3 linked regions of the Drosophila melanogaster genome follow. The protein of the gene in region 1 interacts with the protein of each later gene in a biochemical or structural test. Each region holds a gene or a part of one and is shown on either strand. Other genes may lie near its edges. The genes, in order: ari-1, EcR and koi.

The links.
Region 2: of the proteins of ari-1 (region 1) and EcR, one has a biochemical effect on the other in vitro, tested with the Drosophila melanogaster proteins (one study listed by BioGRID).
Region 3: of the proteins of ari-1 (region 1) and koi, one has a biochemical effect on the other in vitro, tested with the Drosophila melanogaster proteins (one study listed by BioGRID).

What each region holds. Positions count from the first base shown.
Region 1 is NC_004354.4:18,131,680-18,139,349, reverse strand, and holds the start of ari-1 (ariadne 1), read left to right. Parts: upstream 1-1,664; 5' UTR 1,665-1,774; exon of another isoform or gene 1,775-1,985; intron 1,986-2,210; exon of another isoform or gene 2,211-2,299; 5' UTR 2,300-2,689; coding exon 2,690-2,908; intron 2,909-4,010; coding exon 4,011-4,163; intron 4,164-4,224; coding exon 4,225-4,281; intron 4,282-4,989; coding exon 4,990-5,639; intron 5,640-5,978; coding exon 5,979-6,102; intron 6,103-6,163; coding exon 6,164-6,390; intron 6,391-6,472; coding exon 6,473-6,554; 3' UTR 6,555-7,670. Other genes in the region: CG43229 (uncharacterized protein), read right to left, coding at 471-719. UniProt on the Drosophila melanogaster protein: Atypical E3 ubiquitin-protein ligase, which catalyzes ubiquitination of target proteins together with ubiquitin-conjugating enzyme E2 Ubc10.
Region 2 is NT_033778.4:6,128,773-6,133,855, forward strand, and holds the start of EcR (ecdysone receptor), read right to left. Parts: upstream 3,070-5,083; 5' UTR 2,346-3,069; coding exon of another isoform or gene 2,294-2,345; intron 1-2,293. UniProt on the Drosophila melanogaster protein: Receptor for ecdysone. Binds to ecdysone response elements (ECRES) following ecdysone-binding, and recruitment of a complex containing the histone methyltransferase trr, leads to activate transcription of target genes.
Region 3 is NT_033778.4:6,809,097-6,817,056, forward strand, and holds the start of koi (klaroid), read left to right. Parts: upstream 1-1,922; 5' UTR 1,923-2,079; intron 2,080-2,691; exon of another isoform or gene 2,692-2,805; 5' UTR 2,806-2,832; coding exon 2,833-2,987; intron 2,988-3,435; exon of another isoform or gene 3,436-3,598; intron 3,599-3,684; coding exon 3,685-4,020; intron 4,021-4,076; coding exon 4,077-4,657; intron 4,658-4,940; coding exon of another isoform or gene 4,941-5,218; exon of another isoform or gene 5,219-5,716; intron 5,717-5,963; coding exon 5,964-7,463; intron 7,464-7,520; coding exon 7,521-7,633; intron 7,634-7,696; coding exon 7,697-7,909; 3' UTR 7,910-7,960. Other genes in the region: CG15237 (uncharacterized protein), read right to left, coding at 121-260, 328-415, 474-602; ubl (ubiquitin like), read right to left, coding at 996-1,039, 1,105-1,243, 1,303-1,341. UniProt on the Drosophila melanogaster protein: Component of the LINC (LInker of Nucleoskeleton and Cytoskeleton) complex involved in the connection between the nuclear lamina and the cytoskeleton. Is required to nuclear migration in eye and to anchor klar in the nuclear membrane.

The sequences.
Region 1 (7,670 bases):
AATACTCCCAATGGAGCGGTGCATTTTTCAGCTGCTTTTTTGTGGCGAAAAAAAAAAACAATGCAGCCATTCATGCGCTCAGTGCATTCGGTAAATTTAACTCAATTGATTGAATTACAATCAAATTGTCATTTTCATTATATGCAAAAATGGTATACATTTTGGTTCATGTTAAAAATGCTATTTAGTAACTGCCGTCATGTAATTTTGTAGTTTTTATTTATTGGTTTTATAATTTCTACAAATGCCTAATATTAAACCAATAGAAAATTATTGAAAACATTAAAATATTTACTTCTGTGTAATGAGGCAAACGCCCAATCAATTTTATAACCATTTTTTTCTCATTAAAAATGTGTCTGCTGTATTTATTTTGCATGCTGATTATTTCCATGCAATCGGTTTTTAGTTTACATATGAATTTTAAGGTGATATTCGTTTAGATATTTGTTTTGATGGTGAATCCTATATCAGGGGCACAAAATAAGAGGCACACAGTGTCCTCGTTCGTTACGGGCATATCCTCTCGCACAATGGCATCCCGATGGGTTTTTCCAGCACCGCTGACTGAACTCCTGGCAGAAGGACTCGCATCGGCAGATCGGGTTGCTCAGACGGCACTCGTAGGGCCCACAACTTCCGGATCCGCCCAGGTCGGCCCGTATGGCTGCCACCATTAGAAGAAGAAGAAATCGAACTGCCATCCAACGAATTTGCATTATGACCGCATTCTGATTAAGCCAGCTGGCTCTTTATATACATACCTTATACACAACAACAGTTGTCAGGTGTTGCAATAAAAACACAATATACAATAAAAAACTTTAAGTGAAATCGAATAAGGCGCCCATTGCCAGTGCAACTCTGTATCAACCGATACAGTATCGATAAGGTATCGATATGGCATCGATACATCGATGTTACAACAGAGTGGCAATTTACCATTGAATTTGATTAACGGTACTTGTGAAACAATGAAAATTGGGACAGTAAAGTTTAAAATAATTTTATTCAAATATATTTTTAGCTCGTGCGAAGTTTTAGCAATTTTATATTGTTCGCCACTTTAAAGATTAAACTCTAACCGCAAACAACCGGAGGTTGCAGTTAAAAACATGAGAAAACGTTTGAGTATAATATCTTGACAGTCGAATAAAAGATCTCAATAATAGATCAAGACGCCTAGTTATCCTGATCAAGAATATGTGTACTTTATGAAGTCGGAAGCGCTTTTCAACGAATCTAGTATACCCTTTAATTCCAAGAATAATTAATAATGTTTAAATAACAATATTTATTTCAAACAGGTTTATGTCTCGGATTGGAATTTGACACTGTGGTTCGTGCCTTTGAATGGATCCCTTCAAGTCTTGTTCTGTAAAGGGATTTTCTCAAAAACTGTTTCTGTAAATTAAGCGCATGTCTCATTTTTAAGATAATCTCTTTTGATGAATACACTGAGAATCAAGAAAACGTTCATTGGAAGCTCACTTGTTTTTGAATCTACTGTTTCCCAGCCGTCGATAAGTCACTATTGCTTTTTTGGCACCCATCGATAAGCAGATGTTGTTAAACATACGATTTAACGGAACGGTATGAAACAGGCGGCAATCGGAACGAAAGTAAATGGGAAAAAAGCGCAAACATGCGCACACACTTTCACGCACACTTGACTCCACTGTGCGAGCGCGTGTGTGTGTGTGTTATTTTTTGAGAAAAGCAAAGAGAGCAAGTGAGAACCAACACCGATGCAAATCATTTTGTTGGCTTTACGGTTAGTTTTTCGTGAAAATTCCATTTAATTTGTGCATTGCAACCGAACTTCGCGACGAAGGCGAGCACGATTAGTGCAATAAGCTAGTGTTTTTTCTTTGGAAAAGTGCATAGAAAAACAACAAAAAGTCATAAGCTTTTCGACTGTGCCTTTGTGTACGTGTGTGTGGCAATACACACGTAATGTGCGCATGTGTGTGCGCAGTGTGCTGGTGTGTGCCATTACCTTGAAAACAAAATAATCTGCCCTAAAGAAAAATGCATTTGTGTACATAATTTCGTTGTTTTTTTTTGTTTGTCCCATCGACGTTCGGTCGATTTTACATGATTTTACACACACATGCACACATTTAACATAGTGTTGTTCGCTGTTAAATCAGCAGTTCGGCCCTGTTAAGCGCACGGGCCAGTGTGACCGTTCTTCTTAAAAATACCGAACCAGTATGACTGCGCTGCGACCGTGCAGGGTCTCGTATTGTCATTAGAAAATCTCACATATTCATTTTTCATTTACAAATAAAAATAGCCAGCACGCAGCCTACAAATTAGCAGCGCACAAAATAAGTTAGTGTGAAAAAGGGAATAGAAGCTGTGCACCAAGTGCAGCGACCAAACACAACTGGCCACGCCACTGCGAGGGCAGCAATAATAACAACTGGCGAAAAGGGCTGCGCAAAAACGTAAACAAAAGCAAGTGGAAAACGAGGCAAAGGAAAACGAAAAGACAGAAACAAACGCAAATGCAAATGCAAAAGTAAAATACTGGAAGTAAACGCTGGAAAACAAAGCCTCGAAAGCTGAAAACAAAGAGGAACGGAAGTGGTGCGGGAGGCGCAAGAGGAACAGGAAGAGGAAGAGAGCAGAAGGAGCACCAGCAGCTGAAGCAGAAGCAGTAACGCAAAACAGAAACCGAAAAATGGACTCGGACAATGACAATGATTTCTGCGATAATGTCGATTCGGGCAACGTCTCCTCGGGCGACGACGGCGATGATGACTTTGGCATGGAGGTGGACCTGCCAAGCTCCGCGGACCGCCAGATGGACCAAGATGACTACCAGTACAAGGTGCTCACCACCGATGAGATTGTGCAACACCAGCGCGAGATCATCGACGAAGCCAATCTGCTGCTGAAGGTATGGCCAAGCGCAAGTACAGTGAACACCCGCTAGTATAACTATCCATCCGCAACTTAACTATCAGTCCTAGGGCAGCCATAGAGGTACATTCTTCACCCAGTCCAGACAACAAAGATAGGCAAGCAGTCACCTTTGATTGCTCTACAGTCAGGCCTTCCTAGCAGGAACATGTTTGTTTCGACTTTCGTTAGCGCTGCGATTTGCAGTGAAAGCCAAATGGCTTGACATAGTTTAGTGGCGTATAGCTGCCAAGAATATCTGATCTGTTCGCCGCTCGGAGGCATCACTGTGTGCAGCACAGTGCATTTGGGCATGTGTATCCGTGAATCGCTTTCCCCACCCCTCGCTCTTGCCGCCCACCGCCCTGCCTGGGATCTGGGATAAGCTGAAGGTCGTCCGCTGATGACTGCCAGTGCCAGTGAAATCGGAACACAAGCACCCAGGCGCACCCAAGGTCGCCAGATCCGCATCCCATATCCGCATCAGCAGCTGACTTGCCCGAAGTTCACTAGCACAGTTTTCACTTTCCCAGATTTCGGGGGATTCCCTTAAAATGGTATTATAGATTCCATTTCAAATGAATACATTAGGATCAATGTAGAATCCATGTAATACTTTTTTGTTTCATTGACATTTAAACATCAGAAAATCTTTCATTGCAATAATAAGCGAAATTCACTTAGCTTGAGTGTTAACTTTCAGTATTGATACAGATCATGTATGTAGCTATCTAATTGTTAGTTAAACAAAGCACCTTTGAGTAACTCTTCCCTCTAAAATTGAATTGTACATACATACGTACTTTTTCTCGATTTCCAAACAAATCGATTAGTTATTAGGAATGCCAAGAAATGTTATATATCCTAAAAATTATACTGTTTAGATAGACCAATTGCCAGTGGTAGTTATAGTGGTTCCACATCACAACCCCATCCACGATTATACATAGGTACTGCTGATCATACTGCTGCTGATCGCAAATGATTTGGCATTGATTTCGATGCCAACTGGGATGCAGCCCCCGCTCTTTTACCCCATATATGTACATATGTGCCATCATCCACTGACATTCGATTTGTTTTGTTGTCTATGGCCACAGCTACCCACACCCACCACACGGATACTGCTAAATCACTTCAAGTGGGACAAGGAGAAGCTATTGGAGAAGTACTTCGACGACAACACTGATGAGTTCTTCAAATGCGCACATGTCATAAATCCTTTCAACGCCACCGAAGCGATCAAACAAAAGGTGAGCCCAGTGCTAAGGCTCCATTTGATGTCTCATCTAATGCGTTTCCCTTCATTTTCAGACCTCACGCAGTCAGTGCGAAGAGTGCGAAATATGCTTTTCACAGCTCCCGCCAGATGTAAGTTGTCATGGAGAAGGGATGAGTAACTCCGTGACCTAATTGCGGTGTAGAATATATTTTCCCGCTGATTAACCACGAATATTTTGGGGGGAAACATGATTTTTTAACTGGTCAATGGTGCCTTATCTGATGACCTGATAATAATGTTAGGGCGTTGCTTTGCTATACAAATCTAAAATATTCTAAAAAGACTTGATTTGTATTTTATCAATTATTTTTATTGGCTTACGTTATCACTAATTTACTTGCTTGATTTACAATTGTTGATTGTTAGCCTGAATTTGGTTATGTAAGCAGTTCAGCAGTAATTCGCTGGAATCCAACTGTCTTGTGGAATCAAACATTTAATAATGTAGTTTAAAAAGTAAAATTTAGTATCACGTTTTAAAAGAGTAGATTGCAATGGGCAACTTTGGGTTATAACAGCAAAGTAAACTTAAATATATTATAGACAAGCTAACTAACAAATACTCAGAGCGTAAAACACCTATGAAAAGTTTAAAATTACCATACGCTATGTAGGTGGTTTTAATTTGCTGTATGCTTCATCATTAAGCTCTCATAGTTCGCGTGATCTTTAAGTATATATTATAGAATACGATTATAATATATTTATAATATTGTATACTCTTTTGCTCCACAAGCAACAACTTCAAGAATATCTACAATGTATACTAATAGCTACTTTCTCTTCGTTCCATTTAGTCCATGGCCGGGCTGGAATGCGGACACCGATTCTGCATGCCCTGTTGGCACGAGTATCTGTCAACGAAGATCGTGGCGGAGGGTCTGGGCCAGACCATTTCGTGCGCGGCGCACGGCTGTGATATCCTGGTGGACGACGTGACCGTCGCCAACCTAGTGACGGACGCACGGGTGCGGGTCAAGTACCAGCAGCTGATCACCAATAGCTTTGTGGAGTGCAACCAGCTGCTGCGCTGGTGTCCGTCCGTCGACTGCACCTATGCGGTGAAGGTGCCGTACGCGGAGCCACGTCGCGTCCATTGCAAATGCGGCCATGTCTTCTGCTTTGCCTGCGGCGAGAACTGGCACGATCCGGTCAAGTGCCGTTGGCTAAAGAAGTGGATCAAGAAGTGTGACGACGACTCGGAGACGTCCAACTGGATCGCGGCCAATACCAAAGAGTGTCCCAGGTGCAGCGTGACCATCGAGAAGGACGGCGGCTGCAACCACATGGTGTGCAAGAACCAGAACTGCAAAAACGAGTTCTGCTGGGTGTGCCTCGGTTCTTGGGAGCCGCACGGCTCCTCCTGGTACAACTGCAATCGCTATGACGAGGACGAGGCCAAGACGGCCCGCGATGCTCAGGAGAAGCTGCGCTCCTCGCTGGCCAGGTGGGTCATTCGACTGTGAACGATGTCACAGGATAGGAACCCCTTTTGTTTTTTTTTTTTTTTAAGTGATACTTGTTGTGTATTATTTTCGCAGTTCGCTGATAATGACGGTTAGCGGTTTATTTTATCTGCTAATTTCTTTTAAGAAAAGATAACGATTGAAAGCCGTAGAAAGGAATGAATCAGCTATAATTCGTAATTAAATTTTATCGCTGATTAAACCTGTAGAATTAGAAATGCTAAAACTAATCAAGGAAACACGAAAGTATCTAGGCAGAAATGTGAAAGTCATTATGGAATAAAACTCAACTGATATATTATCTTCTGCCAAATCTACAGATATCTCCACTACTACAATCGCTACATGAACCACATGCAGTCGATGAAGTTTGAGAACAAATTGTATGCATCTGTGAAGCAAAAGATGGAGGAGATGCAACAGCACAACATGTCATGGATTGAGGTAAGTGGTGAAAACTCGTGACCATAACAATGCGAATTCAGCACACTCATTGCAATTGCAGGTGCAGTTTCTGAAAAAGGCTGTCGACATACTTTGCCAGTGCCGTCAGACTCTCATGTACACGTACGTGTTTGCATATTACTTGAAAAAGAACAATCAATCCATGATATTCGAGGATAATCAAAAGGACTTGGAGTCGGCAACCGAGATGTTGTCGGAGTATTTGGAACGTGATATTACATCCGAGAATTTGGCTGATATTAAGCAGAAAGTGCAAGATAAATACAGGTGAGCGAGCGAGCCATGTCCGTGTCCCCAACATACAAACGACTCATTATCCAAACATTGATTGGTCTCTCCATTCGATTAGGTATTGTGAAAAGCGGTGCTCTGTTCTGCTGAAGCACGTGCACGAGGGGTACGACAAGGAGTGGTGGGAGTACACAGAATGACGCGAGTCATGGCTGGATAACTAAGCTAAGCCGAGCGGCAGGCAATCGGAATGTAGTGCCCGCTAAGCGCCACCCCATCCAGCATCCGAAATGCAGCAAACACTGTCCCCATCCACATACCGACCAACATCCGCCAAGCCACGCAACACACACACACACACACACACACACACTCACGCACGCACGCACTCACGCAGAAATCGAAGCCGAAGGAGTTGAACAGAAGTTAAGGATAATGCAGAAGCTACACAGAAACGCAAGAGAAAGGAGACTCGAAATTCCCAGAAACGCAGGATAAATCCCCATACAAGAGTTGCAAAGCAAAATTGAAGCCATTTCAGAACACAGAAGCCAGAAGGAAATCACCATAAAATCGTAATATATATAAATATATATATTGAATTATATATATTTTTCTTCGTACTAAGCAAGAGCAGCAGCAGGACACGAAGAAGGACAGGATCAAATAGACACTACCAAACACATACTCACACACTCCCACACACACACACACACACACACAGAACCAGTCACAAGGCTCAGAAGCAGAATAGATATATAGTAAATAATCAACAGTTAAAAACTTATTTGATGTTAACCGATTGCAAAGAAATCTTCATGTTATAAAAACCTAATGAAAAACGAAACAAAATGCAAAAATTAGTGAATTCAAAGCTACACGCATGATGAGAAGCCAACAATAGAACCTAAACTTATGTGAAATAAACAAACTACACATGTAAGCAGAAACACTCGCCCAGCTTCCTTTCCACCTGCCCAACTTCCTTCGACCAAAGACAATAGAATAACAAGATGCGTAACGCAACGCGATTTTTTAGCACACATTTTTTTGGCAATGGATCTAGAAGGTGGCTCCAGGCTCTCTCGAATTTTTGAGAGAGAGCGAGAGAGTGGAGAGCGCTACAGCAAATAGCTCTTTTCTACGTATACAGTGATAGCAGACAATTGTATGTGTGCACACGTATGCTTATGCATTGTAAATTTGACCCCCTTCTTAGACTTTAAATCTTTATTATTTTTGATCAATTGGCACCATGCTAAAAATTCTTGTTTTGCATTGCCTTAACGTTATTATTATTTGAAAATAGATTAGAA
Region 2 (5,083 bases), on another chromosome or scaffold:
AACAATAAAATTGTTTTGTCTGGACTGTGGAAAGTCATGGAAACTCTCTGTCATTGGCGATTGTCTGCGAAAGTGTTGGCAGCTCGACTTTGTTGCTGGTCTGTGAAAGTCCACAAGAGCGTCGGGGAGAAGGCACAACTCATTCCAAGCTCGATTGCTTTATGGCAGGCTACTCTTAACCGCACATACACAAATTAGGTCCATCCAGACCGAACGGGAAGGAAAACCAGCTAGAAAAGGCTGACAAGATAAGGCACTCAATGCAATTGATACAAGAGCACATACAATGGCACCTGTTTGCCATTTCTGCCATTCCCGTTCCCCATTTCCATCCAGGGGATGAAGAACGGAGTGGTGTTCTGTCTCGTGACCCACTGGTCTGCACCCATTAGTATCGTCGCCCCCAGACGCGGTTACATTGAACCTTTTTAAAGGGGGGTTGTGTGTGACACTTTGGAAACAGTTGTGATATAAAATAAGGTATTTCGATTATCCAGGGTCATTTTAATTCGTGCGGATTTGGTAGTCATAATTGTTGTTATGTCTGTGGTAGGACTTTCAGAACACTAAGCAGATCTTTTGATCGTTTCCATTTGCTTGTATAATTTCTTCATGTCAAAGTCATTTAGCTAAGAACCCCAAACTATTGTAAAAATGCATAGAGGGTTCGACATAAAAGCACTGGTAACTCGGTTTTCTCAGCCTGGGCGAAGCCACAACACTGAATCCCATGTATAGACATACATGTGTCTATATATTTGCATAAAATCGCATTAAAATTTGCCATTTGGCCACTTTAATGTCCCATAAAACATAAACAACAGCAGCGAAGACGAAGTTGTCGACGCCATAGGATATAAGTTACTTTTTTTGTGCTCTTTGTTTGTGTCCAGAAAGTGTAGCAAAGAAGAAATAGCGAAAAACTTAATGTGCAAAAAGCAGTTGGAAAAGAGAATCTTTAGTCGAGTGCTTCGACTAAAAGATACCCGCTAGCACGTTTAAAACTAAATCTACAATTCTGAATTATGTGCATCCTGTAGAGGAATTTCATTTAAAAACCCAGCTTAGGGCTTTTGAGCTTATTCGAATTTCTAGGAGCTTTAGATTGGACTTGGCCGAGACTAAAAATAAACTTGCACAGCTCAGTCATCGTTAGAACTTAAATGCTGTGTGAGTAAAGGGTATCAAAAAACAGAGCCATGAAGTCGAAAGTTTAACCAGACCCGCCCAGGAAACGAAGGCCAACGGGTGGCGGTAAGTCTGTGTCGTCGGGGGGATGGAACAAATTAATTGTGGGAGAGTCAAACTAATGTTGGGGACTTTACTGGAACCTAAGCGCAAACCTAATGCTGTTACCTAATGCCTCATTAGGCGCTTTAAAATAGGGAAGCCCAAGCGCACAAGAGGACTCGCCTTATAATGTATAATAATATATCGCAGTACCTATTAAACAATATACCAAAAATAAGATAAATAAATACTACACATTTATTGTAGAATTGAACATTTAACAATTGAAGTCATTGGATCCAAAAAGTGAAGTCTCTTCAGACGAACAGCATTTACATGTTCCACAATTTTACCTTCTCCAACACGATTCAAGTGCCCAATCTGTATCGAATCATTTTTGAGCGTTCTTTCGGCACTTAATAAATCGAATACGTTTTACACCGAATTAAACCTTATCAACAGAATATATGTGAAAATCAGAGTAAATCTGTTGGCTGAATTCACTGAATGCCCACTTGAATTTATGGAAATACATGCCAATTACGCAGTCGAGTGCTTTCCTAGACCGACATGCACATATTCGTCTACACCGGGGATCTATGGTGGCCCGAAAGAGGCTTGATTATGTTTACGCAGGCGAAATACACAATTTTCAACGTTCTGTCTTGACCGTCTGTCAGTTGTCATGACCATAATTAATGTATTGCCAATCGAACCCCCATCCCAAGCATGTGTATCTTTTTGGGACATCATAATGTCTGTATGTACAGCATGTATTCAGCTATGCGAACATATGATCTGTGTATCTTGGCATTGAAAAGATCTAATGGTAATGTAGTTTTCATTTCGGCTGGATGAATAAGAAATGGAAATTGATTTTGCGCACGCGAAGTGACAAGTGCGCCAAGACAAACACATTAGGGCCTGAACAAATCGAAAATAGTTTTCGGCTCCGAACAGCGAACTTGTTGCCTAACTCAGATCTTTCGTTAAGCAGTTGACCACAAAATGTTGTTATGGAAAAGCGCTTGGTTCTATTGGATTCCAAGGTGCCCACACTCACCATATGCGTCGATATAGTGCGCCAGTTCTGCTACTAATCCACAAGTATCCATGGGCCCACTGCGTATTTGAACAAAAGGTATTCCAGTTGACAAAGCACTATTTGGAATGTTGAGTAAAATCTTTTCACTACCTTTATATATATGTAAGGGGATCGGGATCCACGGCACAAATCCCTCACTCACTCGCGCACTATCTTCGATATATGTACATATGTAATATTGTGGATGCGGAAAAAGTCTCCGGCTCCTGGCAAAGCGGAGCTAGCGTTCCACAGACCACGACTAGACGGGCGTCTTATGTCTGTGTGTCACGTTGCTGATGTTTGATTTCGAGTTCTGGCTTCGTTGTTTCCTATTTACATTTCGATACCGCTGTATTCCCTCAGCCGCAGTTTGCACTATGCAGCCGCCATATAATATCTGTACAAATATGAATATATGCTCTCGATTTGCGTTATTTTAAGAACTATTTCCTTTTGCTTCTTCACCACTTATGTATGTATTTTTACTATTGTTTGAGTTTCAGCTACAATGCATTTGCACTTTATATTAATTTTTGCCGATGAATTGCACTTGTGTTTGTTGCGGTTGTTGGGGGAACTGGTATTATTTGGGATTTGTCTAACAATTTTTCATAAATATATGTAGGTGTATATGTGATTTAAACATTATTTGGTTACAACATTTTGGGGGTTTTCGGTTTTGAAATGTAAGGTGCTTTGGGAAACCGTACTGTTAGGTTGTCGTTTTCAATTGTGTGTGCTGTATTTTGTATCTTGTTTTTTGACGAACGCGATCGGGCTTCGTACGTGCGAGCGAACAACCGTTAACAACAAAGTCCAAAAAAATACTAAATCAATGAGCGAGACGAGCAGAATGTTAAACGCTCAAACTCACCACACTGGCACGCACACCAAAGTAAACTCACCAGACACGCACACCATGGCGCTAAAAGAGCGAGAGTTAAAAGCGGAATCGGCGCTAAAGATAAATGTGAAACGCAGGCAGCACTCACTCACACAGCCACAGACACACACTCTGAGCAAGCGGCTTGAATGAAAATGCCGATGCAATTGCAATCGTGGAATACTCTTTGTCCGCTCTCCGGCACGTATCTGTGAGTTGTGTGCGAGCGTATATGGCCGTGTATGCGTGAGTATGAGTGCCATCATCGCTTTCATTTCTTGCTGCTTTATTTTCGGTTTTCTACATTTATTTATTGTTTTTTTTTTTCGTTCGTTTTCGTTCATCGCTACTTTCGGGTGCACAAGTGCAAATTCACACGTATGTACGTACATTTGAAATATTCTCGCATAGTGGGACGAAAGGGTCCATAATAAATCGGAAGGAGTGCCACAACTTGCAATAATTAAAAGTAGGATAAGTTGAAATATTTAGCTTAAATTACAGTCTCTCTACTTCACCTTTTCGATACATTCCAAGTTTTATTTTCAATAATCTCTAACATCAATTGCATTTTTCAGTGTCCCTTTAAACTTTATTATTTGAATACATATATGTAGCAAATATCTCAACAAGAAAACAATGAAAACGTTTCATGTGGCCAAAAATACTTTCTCACGTCAGCTGAATGAATAATAAATAAGATCGAGTTAGAAAACCATAGAGAGTCCTCCGAAGGACTGTTTTCCATTCGTTGGAAGGGAAATCCACCTGAAGTCAGTAGACACCGCTGTTTGAAGCAGAATATTGACACTACGAGACGTAATTGACGGAAAGGAAAAAGATCACCAGGAGGGTAAACAGAACGCAGATCAAACTAACAGCCACAACAGTATCTATGAGTATGTACGTATGTATACATACACATACACGTATCACCGCCGTCTGCTGGGCGACGTATAAATTGCACGTTTCGAATACATTGTGGTTAAAAAGTCAGCGCAAAGCGAGCTGAGATACTCAGATACAGATACGCACACATCGCTGCAGATAATTGTTTGCCCATCCCTTCCCCCCACCACCAGCCCCATCATTCGAATCGCTACGTATTTACTTAACGTCGCTGTGTGCGTTGAGTTGACGCTGGGCAAGTTCAAGTGTAGAATGCAATAGAGAATTGCATTTGCCAGAGCGAGAGAGACGACCTCGCTCTCTACGCATACGCATAGAAAAGCCGGCAAAATGCAAGGGCAAGGTGGTGCGGGACTGTGGGGGTGGTCGTACTGACGGTGACAGTGGTTAGCATGTGGTGAGTTTCGCTCTGTTTGGGGTTGGCTAGACACATTGAACCACAAAAGTTCAAGATGAAAACACAAAATATCAACAATGACAGCTGAGTAGTGGGGACGGCAGCGGCTTGGTGTCGGGGGCGTGAAAGAGACTTTGCCTCTCTCTATCTCTTCCTATGTTTCTCTACTTCTATTTGTTTGGGTATACCAATACAAACACAGCTGCAACCCATAACTGCGTCTATGATGATTTTCTTCTCTTTCGTCCTTCCCCACATTCTCCACTCCTCCACACGTCTCGTTCCCCTCTCCTCCACTATCCTTTTCCCTCTTGGCCGACTGCCAAACGACTCTCAGTTCAGTAGTACACTGGAGCAATTGCTTAGAGTATGGGTGCAACATGTATCTGTGCTTTCCTATATGTATCTGTGTAGCTGCATGCGAGCGTGAGAGAGTTTGTCTAGCTTTGAGGGTGTGAGTGGGTGAGAAGGGGAGGGGGAGGGGGAGCGATCGAAGTCATGTGCATGCCTTTTGTTGGGGTAGTTCGCCGGCAAATAAATGAAATAGAAGAGAGCCGAATGCCATGTAGTGGAAACT
Region 3 (7,960 bases), on another chromosome or scaffold:
GCCTAAAGTATCCGACACTTGTTATTACAGTTTGTAAAGGGAACAAGACGCGAAAATAAATAATTGTGTATCCACCAGCCGGGCGACATTGTGATGGGCAATCAGGGCACTCCCATTCATTTAGGGGGCTGTGGGTGAGGTCTCGTCGTTCATCTGAATGTCGTCGGCGGAGTAAAAGTCCTGGGTTACCGGGATGACGCGGTCGTTGGTCTCGTCATCCTCCTCATCGTGACTGTCCGTGTCCTCGCTGTCGTCGTTGGCTGCACAAGGGCAATTGGACGTAAAAACGATAATGGTAATCCGAATGCAGTGTCCTGCCGTACTCACCATCCTCGTCGTCGGTCTCAATTCCGGGTATGGTGAGCATTTTGCCCAGCGGCTGCAGATCTGTGCCGGCCGTCTTAAGGGACTCTCGCTGTACGGTTTAAGTTTATAACAATTTATACAGAAAGCGGTGTCTGGAGAGAACTCACCCAGTTGCTCCTTTCATCCTCATAACGCCGCGTCTGCGATTCTTCGTTTACGGAGGCAGGAGCCATGTCCAACCAGTAGCGATTGGCCACGGAGACTTTGAGCGTGGGAAAGAATGGAATCATTGACATTTTCGACGGAATCTTGAATGCGCTGTTTTCAATATTTGTTGTTCTTTCTCTGGAAGCCTTTGATGCGATCTGGCAACGCCGCAACATACGCTGTAAATAATACCAATTTTACAGGGGCGTAGTCGTAGGGGCGCATTAAACGCAAATTACAATATTAATTGTAATTGTAATTCATCAATCTAACTATGTATTTTGTTATTGTCAAGGGAAGTCCGATAACCAAGGGCTTAATACAGCTTACTCAAAAATATATATCTTCACTATTACAAATTGACCTTAAGAATCAGAACATAACCAAAACGAATAATATATATTATTCAAAATCTTTTTATTTATTAAAGAAGCTATAAAAATTGGACAAACTAGACACAGGAACGGTATTCCCTTGCAGTTTTATTGGTAGTAAAGTTCCAGATTCATGCCATCGTGAATTTCATCTAAGAAAGCGAAAAAGAAATGCGGGTAAAGCAAGGCGTTACAAGGACACTAAACAAGGGCTTACAGTCAGATAGGCGAATCGGGTCCTTGAAGATTGTGTACCACTTCTTCAGGACAATCTTCTCGTGCTTTGTGCCCGTTTGTGCCGCGATTAGTTTCTTGAGGTCCCCAATCGTGTCGTCCGGGTTGCACTTGACGCGCACCTGTGGGTTAATCGTTGGTTAACGATGCTTGCAGTTGCCTTGGGTACTTAGCTGCTTACCTTCTTGCCAAGACGATCGTTACACGTTATTTCTATCATATTTTATGGCTTTGCTAGACAAATCACAACAATAAATTCTTGATTTGTTGTGGTATTATTGCTTAGGGTTGTCAAATACCCTTTACCGAATACCGAGTGGTTTGAGGGATCGCTAATTGTCCGCAATGCTATCGATATTTTATTTAATTTTAAATATGTTTAAATAACAATCATATAGAAAGTCGAAGTTAAAGATATCAGAAGTCTGAAAGTATACTTAGAAAGCTCAATTGCTTGTCATGACGCAAATCTATCACATCCTTGTAAAACGATAATATTTGTTAACAAATTTATATTTAAATTTCAGTCTTCTTCTTAGTTATCAAGCCAGAAGTCGAATGTTTCGGCGTTAATAGAAAAATAATGTATGTTTGCATATTTGCACACCTCATTCAAATTATTTTTCTTTGTTGAACAAAAGATAAAAGTGTAAAAATTAAATTTTTTATTCTTGACCCATTATTTCTCTTGGTTAATGAAAACAAATTCCGTTTCTCAACGTTCCCTTTAATAATCCATGTGAACAATCGATAGGCGGCGAAACATCGATGATTGCTAGAATAATCGATGTGTCTTCCCCGTTCATTCGAATTTTTTCGCCGCTCGGAATAGACGTGATTTTGCCGTCGTGACGGTGGAGGCTATTTTTAAAACGGTCGCGGCGCTTGCAAACAAAATTCATATCCAGCTATTCAACGGAGGAATTCATTAGTACGGCAGTACAAGAAATATTACTAAGTATGTCACATATTTGCGGGCAAACTGCCGAAAGCACTGTGCGGAGTTTTTGTTTGTGTGCGTGCGTGCCTCATTTTTACATTCACGTACATACATATGTACATATATGTACGCTATGACGCAGCTGTGGAAAACTTGTTTGGGTTTCCATTTCACCGAATCACGGAATCAACGAATATTTGCGCCTGTGCTGCGAACTCATTTTGGGCAGTAAGCCATTGTATTGATTATCGCGCGTTGTTTGTGGATGGCGTGGTCCGCCGGAGCACCCTGTAGCGTCTACATCCCTACCCCGCTCCCTGGAGTCCGATATCTGTGCGCGAAAGGCCGGGCGGGCGTCGTTTTCGGCTATGTGGCCCAACACCAATGGATCCCCACGGTCACTGGCAGCAATTCGCGATCCGAAATGCTCCGCCCTATTTTTAGACGCGGTCTTTGCGGCCTGCCTACTTACCTACCTCCCCAATGCATTCTAATTAAAAACCGGGCACTGCGCTCATTTCCACACGCATTGCATTGCATAATGCGGCATTAATGTGGCGGGGAAAGCTCGCTTCGGAAAGCACTCGAGCATTGAAGTGAAGAGACCGAATGTTTTCCAGCTGCCCAATTGTAAACAACCCACGCCTAGCACGCACACACACGCACACGCACACACACACAGACTGGTTTTAATGTTTACTCCAAATAAATCGTTGCCCATGTTAATTATTTGTGTCTTCGCAGGGCCCGAGCACTGGAGGGAATCTAATCATGAGCGAAAATACATACCAGATAGAAACGCGTCGGCGGTCGCGTTCCAAGACCCCCTTCCTGAGATCGAGCTGCGACCATGAGAACTGTGAGCACGCCGGAGAGGAGGGGCATGTGCACCACCTCAAAAGGAAATCGGCGGCCCCCAATGTGCAGTAAGTATCTGGGATACTCCCGAAATAGGCCTACGGACGAAGCCCTTTATCGCGAACCCATAACATTATTTTTAGCCCTTATAAGTAGTAAAATTGTAAGCATACAATATGTTTACGGAGTTCGAGTCAATTTCATTTTGAGAATTAGGAGAATTCAGTTTAAACTCTATAATTATTTCCTATTTGGTCCTGAGTCACCTTTTTCTATACTGACCATTGGTTTCAGTAAGCAAGTTGGACTGTAGTAAGACACATCCATAGCGACTGTATGTTTGTATGCCGTGTGCTGCCGCCATGACGTCACCTTTTTGTTATTCACGCTCGCCGCGAATTTGAATTTCGAAGCGGGTAGAAAACGAAGGCAAAGCCGCATACAGGGTGCAGCATCTGGTCGAGCTTCGTTAGTTTTTGGCGCCTATTTCGAGAGCGCCTGGTCGGTCTGATGATCAGTCTTCAAGACTCGATGACGACATTCGGAGTCCAACGTCGGCCGTCAGAAATCGTTTTCACGTTTTAGCCTCTAAATCGAGCATGCTGGGGTGGGCTAACAGTCGTTTGCGCTGAAGGCCAGCGGCGGTTATAAGCATATTTTTGTGTTTTTGTTTTGATACGTTGTACTCGTCGTTTCAAACGATTCCGAGCACGTTATCACGGACTTACTGAAATATTTTTCCCAAATCTTACCTCTTCTCTGCAGAACGATAATAGAGGAGCATATAGTGGAGTCGAGTATCAGTAAGAAAACCCGGGCAAAAGCGTTCGCCCAGCTGACCTCGGACTATTCGAGCGACGACATGACTCCGGATGCCAAACGCAAACAGAACTCGATCACGGCCACAGTCACGTCGATTCTCACCAAGCGATCCGGCGGCGCCACATCGACACCGCGGAACAGAAGCCAGCTGGAGACCACACAAAACACGCTGAATTCCGCCCAGGAAAAGCTAAACCAATCGAACGGTAACCTCAGCTCGGGAAATGTCAGCGATTATCTGGCCTACATCGAGTACAGGGATGCTGGTGAATACTGGAAGTGAGTGAATCATTTCTACACATTTTAAACAGTATACTAATGATGCTATTTTGCAGCAAAACTCCCAAGACGGACTATACCTACTCAGAACTGTCCCCTCACCGACGCCAGTTGGCGCCAGGAATTGTGGCCATGCCCAATATGTCCAGAAAGAGCCTAGAGAACCATAACGATCGAGTCAACTACATGGTCCAGCAGAACCCTGCGCAAGAGGAGTTCATCCGCCGCCGCTACCAGTCCAAGTATACCCAGCAGGTTAACTATGACTCCGCAGATGAACTGGACGCCACATTTGGGCAGCAAAAGCAGAGCTGGTGGCTTATCCGCCTCATCCAACTGGTTGTTAGCAGCATTACCACCGTGTGGAGTCGGGTGACCAATCTCTCGGCCACGGAGACGACTGCCTATCAAAACTACCACGCTAAGCGCCAGCAGAGTCAACAAGTTGGACTTTGGTGGAAAATAGTACAGACCATCGGAGGAGGACTTGCAAGTTTGCTGCGCTACCTGTATGTTTTCATCGGATCGGTGCTGAGTTTGGACACGTGGTTGCTGCGATCCTCGGATGCGGAAAACAAGTCGAAAAAGCGCTTCCTCATATTTCTGCTGATTTTGTTGCCCTTGCTGCTGCTGTCGGGTGAGTAGGATTTAAAGCACCGTCCGATTTTTGATGTAAAGTAAAATATGTTAGAGCGTGTGCCGTGACCTTGTACCGGTTCGAGAATTCATACTACATGCATATAGATCACCTCCAGTCGTTGTATTTATAAACTCGTCTGGTCGTTGGCAGTCGCGTGACGCCATCGATAATTTGTTAGTAAAATCCCGCGGATCAGATTTAAGTGGCCATGTGATGACATATTTTATTTTCCATTCACCGTCTGCCAAGGTTAAACGCCTAATTTGCTTTGCCTTTGCAGGTCTGTTCTATTACATACACCCCAATGAAACTTTCCCACCCAAATCCCTGTCCGAATACACATTCACCCTACCTGAGTTGCCCAAAATCGATGTGAAAGACTACCTGAACCAGGAGCAGTTCGAATCGCTACGCTCTCAGGCCGCCGAGCATGCGGTCCGCGTTCGCGATTGGGCCGACGACTACGTTTTGTACTTGAGAACCATCGGTCAGAACGTGGTCAACAAGGGTCGTCAGTTATTTCAGGGCGATGATAAAGTCTATTATGAGCGTGTGTAGGGAACATCTGCAATGGGCAGGCTACAGCTACCAGATTTAGTGATCTGGTTGGGTGCAACGCCCCTTGCACTTAGACAAATATGAGAAACTTTCTTTATGAACAATATGAGTACAAAATAAAGCATTTGATCCGTTTTTTGTCCGTCTGCTTGACCCGCAGTTTTGCGCACTTACTTTATAGTTTTTCGTCCCGTCATTTACCCACTTCATAGGCAAACCCACCTCTCATACCCCACCATACTAACCGACACAATTCCCAACAAAATGCAACATCACAGGCTGATGGGAGAAGGATAGAGCTCGCCGCTGTTCAAATTGTAAAACTTTCGTAATCGTTAACTTCATTCTTGTCCAACAATTAGGGCCGTTATCCGTCTGGGTTAGTGCCCTAACTAAATCTTACTTGTTGTTAAACAACGTTTAATTGTAATTTGTGCACTGTTTGCTTTGTAATAGTCTATACAAAAATAAATCGCAAACAATTTCATATGAAACATCAAGTACAAAGAAGAGTTGTTTGTTTTATTTGCCATTTGTTGGAAGTTCGCTAAATGGTAAGTAAGATGTAAACAAAGCAATATTAGTTGGCCAGAATCGAACTCTATCCTTCTGCATTTGTGTTGGAATAACCCCAAAAACGAGTTCCCTGTTACCTCAGTCCGGTTGATAATTGAAGTTGGTAGGGACTGTAAATGTAGAAGGATTGCCAACTAATAGTGCTATGTTTAATTTTCTCCTTCCCCAGGATGGTTGCTCTTGCAGGAGGATCAACGTAGTGCTTACGTTCAGCGTGCGGAAGCACTGTTGCCGCTGCCACTATCTATTTTCGGCTCCCTACGTAGTCGATTTTCAAATGCTGGAGCCACCTTGAAAAGTTGGATGGAAGTGCCCACCGTCAGGAGTCCCCAGCGGGAAGCCGAGGCCATTAAGGTAAACATGGCCAGCATTGAACAGAACATCCAGAAAGCCTTGACTGCCGAGGAATACGAAAATATCTTAAACCATGTAAACAGCTACGTGCAGCAGTTGGTCGAGCTGAAAATGCAGCAGCATTCCAAGGAGCTCGCACCGCAACAGATTGAACTCTTTGTTAAGCTGATGAAGGAAAACCTCAAGCAGATTATGTACAAAACGGAGCTAAGCGAAAAGGATTTGTCTGATCTGGCCATAAAACTGAAACTGGAGCTGCAAAGCTCAGGCGGTTGGCAAGATGGAGCGAAACTATCACAAGCTAACTTAGAGGAGATAACCAAGCTAATTAAAGCAGAGGTTCACCTCCACGAATCGCACTACACCATTCAATTGGACAGGATAGACTTTGCATCCCTGCTGGAGCGTATTCTTGCTGCGCCAGCATTGGCAGACTTTGTAGATGCTCGAATAAGTCTTCGGGTGGGAGAGCTCGAGCCAAAGGAGAGTTCCGGTTCCTCAGATGCAGAAGTCCAAATTGAGCGTCTGAACAGGGAAATCGCCTTCATTAAGTTGGCTCTCTCTGACAAGCAAGCGGAGAACGCCGATCTGCACCAATCAATCAGCAATCTGAAGCTCGGCCAAGAGGATTTGCTGGAACGCATACAGCAGCACGAACTTTCCCAGGATAGGCGCTTCCACGGGTTGCTGGCTGAAATAGAAAACAAACTGTCTGCGCTTAACGACTCGCAGTTTGCTCTTCTCAACAAGCAGATCAAGCTATCCCTTGTCGAAATTCTGGGCTTTAAGCAATCCACCGCTGGCGGTTCCGCTGGCCAATTGGATGACTTCGATCTGCAGACCTGGGTACGCAGCATGTTTGTGGCCAAGGACTACCTGGAGCAGCAGCTGCTAGAGCTGAACAAGCGCACCAATAACAACATTCGCGACGAGATTGAGCGTTCGAGCATCCTGCTGATGAGCGACATTAGCCAACGACTCAAACGGGAGATTCTTCTGGTTGTGGAGGCCAAGCATAACGAGAGCACCAAAGCGTTGAAGGGCCATATCCGCGAAGAGGAGGTGCGCCAGATAGTCAAGACGGTGCTAGCTATTTACGATGCCGACAAGACGGGCCTGGTGGACTTCGCCCTGGAGTCGGCGGGCGGCCAAATCCTTTCCACGCGTTGCACTGAGAGCTACCAGACAAAGTCAGCCCAGATATCGGTGTTTGGAATTCCACTCTGGTATCCCACCAACACGCCGCGGGTCGCCATTTCACCCAATGTGCAGCCAGGGGAATGCTGGGCATTCCAAGGGTTTCCCGGATTTCTAGGCAAGTCGCGGGTAAATAGTAATTGCTAAAACAGTCCTTATAGTTTTCTTCCCACAGTGCTAAAGCTCAACTCGTTGGTGTACGTCACTGGATTCACCCTAGAGCACATACCGAAGAGTCTATCCCCCACAGGAAGAATAGAATCAGCTCCTCGCAACTTCACTGTCTGGGTAAGTTTGACTAAGGGTGAAAGGAAGTGGTGCATTTCTAATACGACTTATCCATCAACTCAGGGCTTGGAGCAGGAGAAGGACCAGGAACCCGTATTGTTCGGCGATTACCAGTTTGAGGACAATGGTGCTTCCCTCCAGTACTTTGCCGTTCAAAACCTGGACATCAAACGGCCGTACGAGATCGTCGAACTGCGGATCGAGACGAACCATGGCCATCCCACCTATACATGCCTCTACCGGTTTCGCGTGCACGGCAAGCCGCCGGCCACATAAATCTGTTCAAATCTCTTCTAGTGACCTAAGTACTGCCAGGTGTACATAATG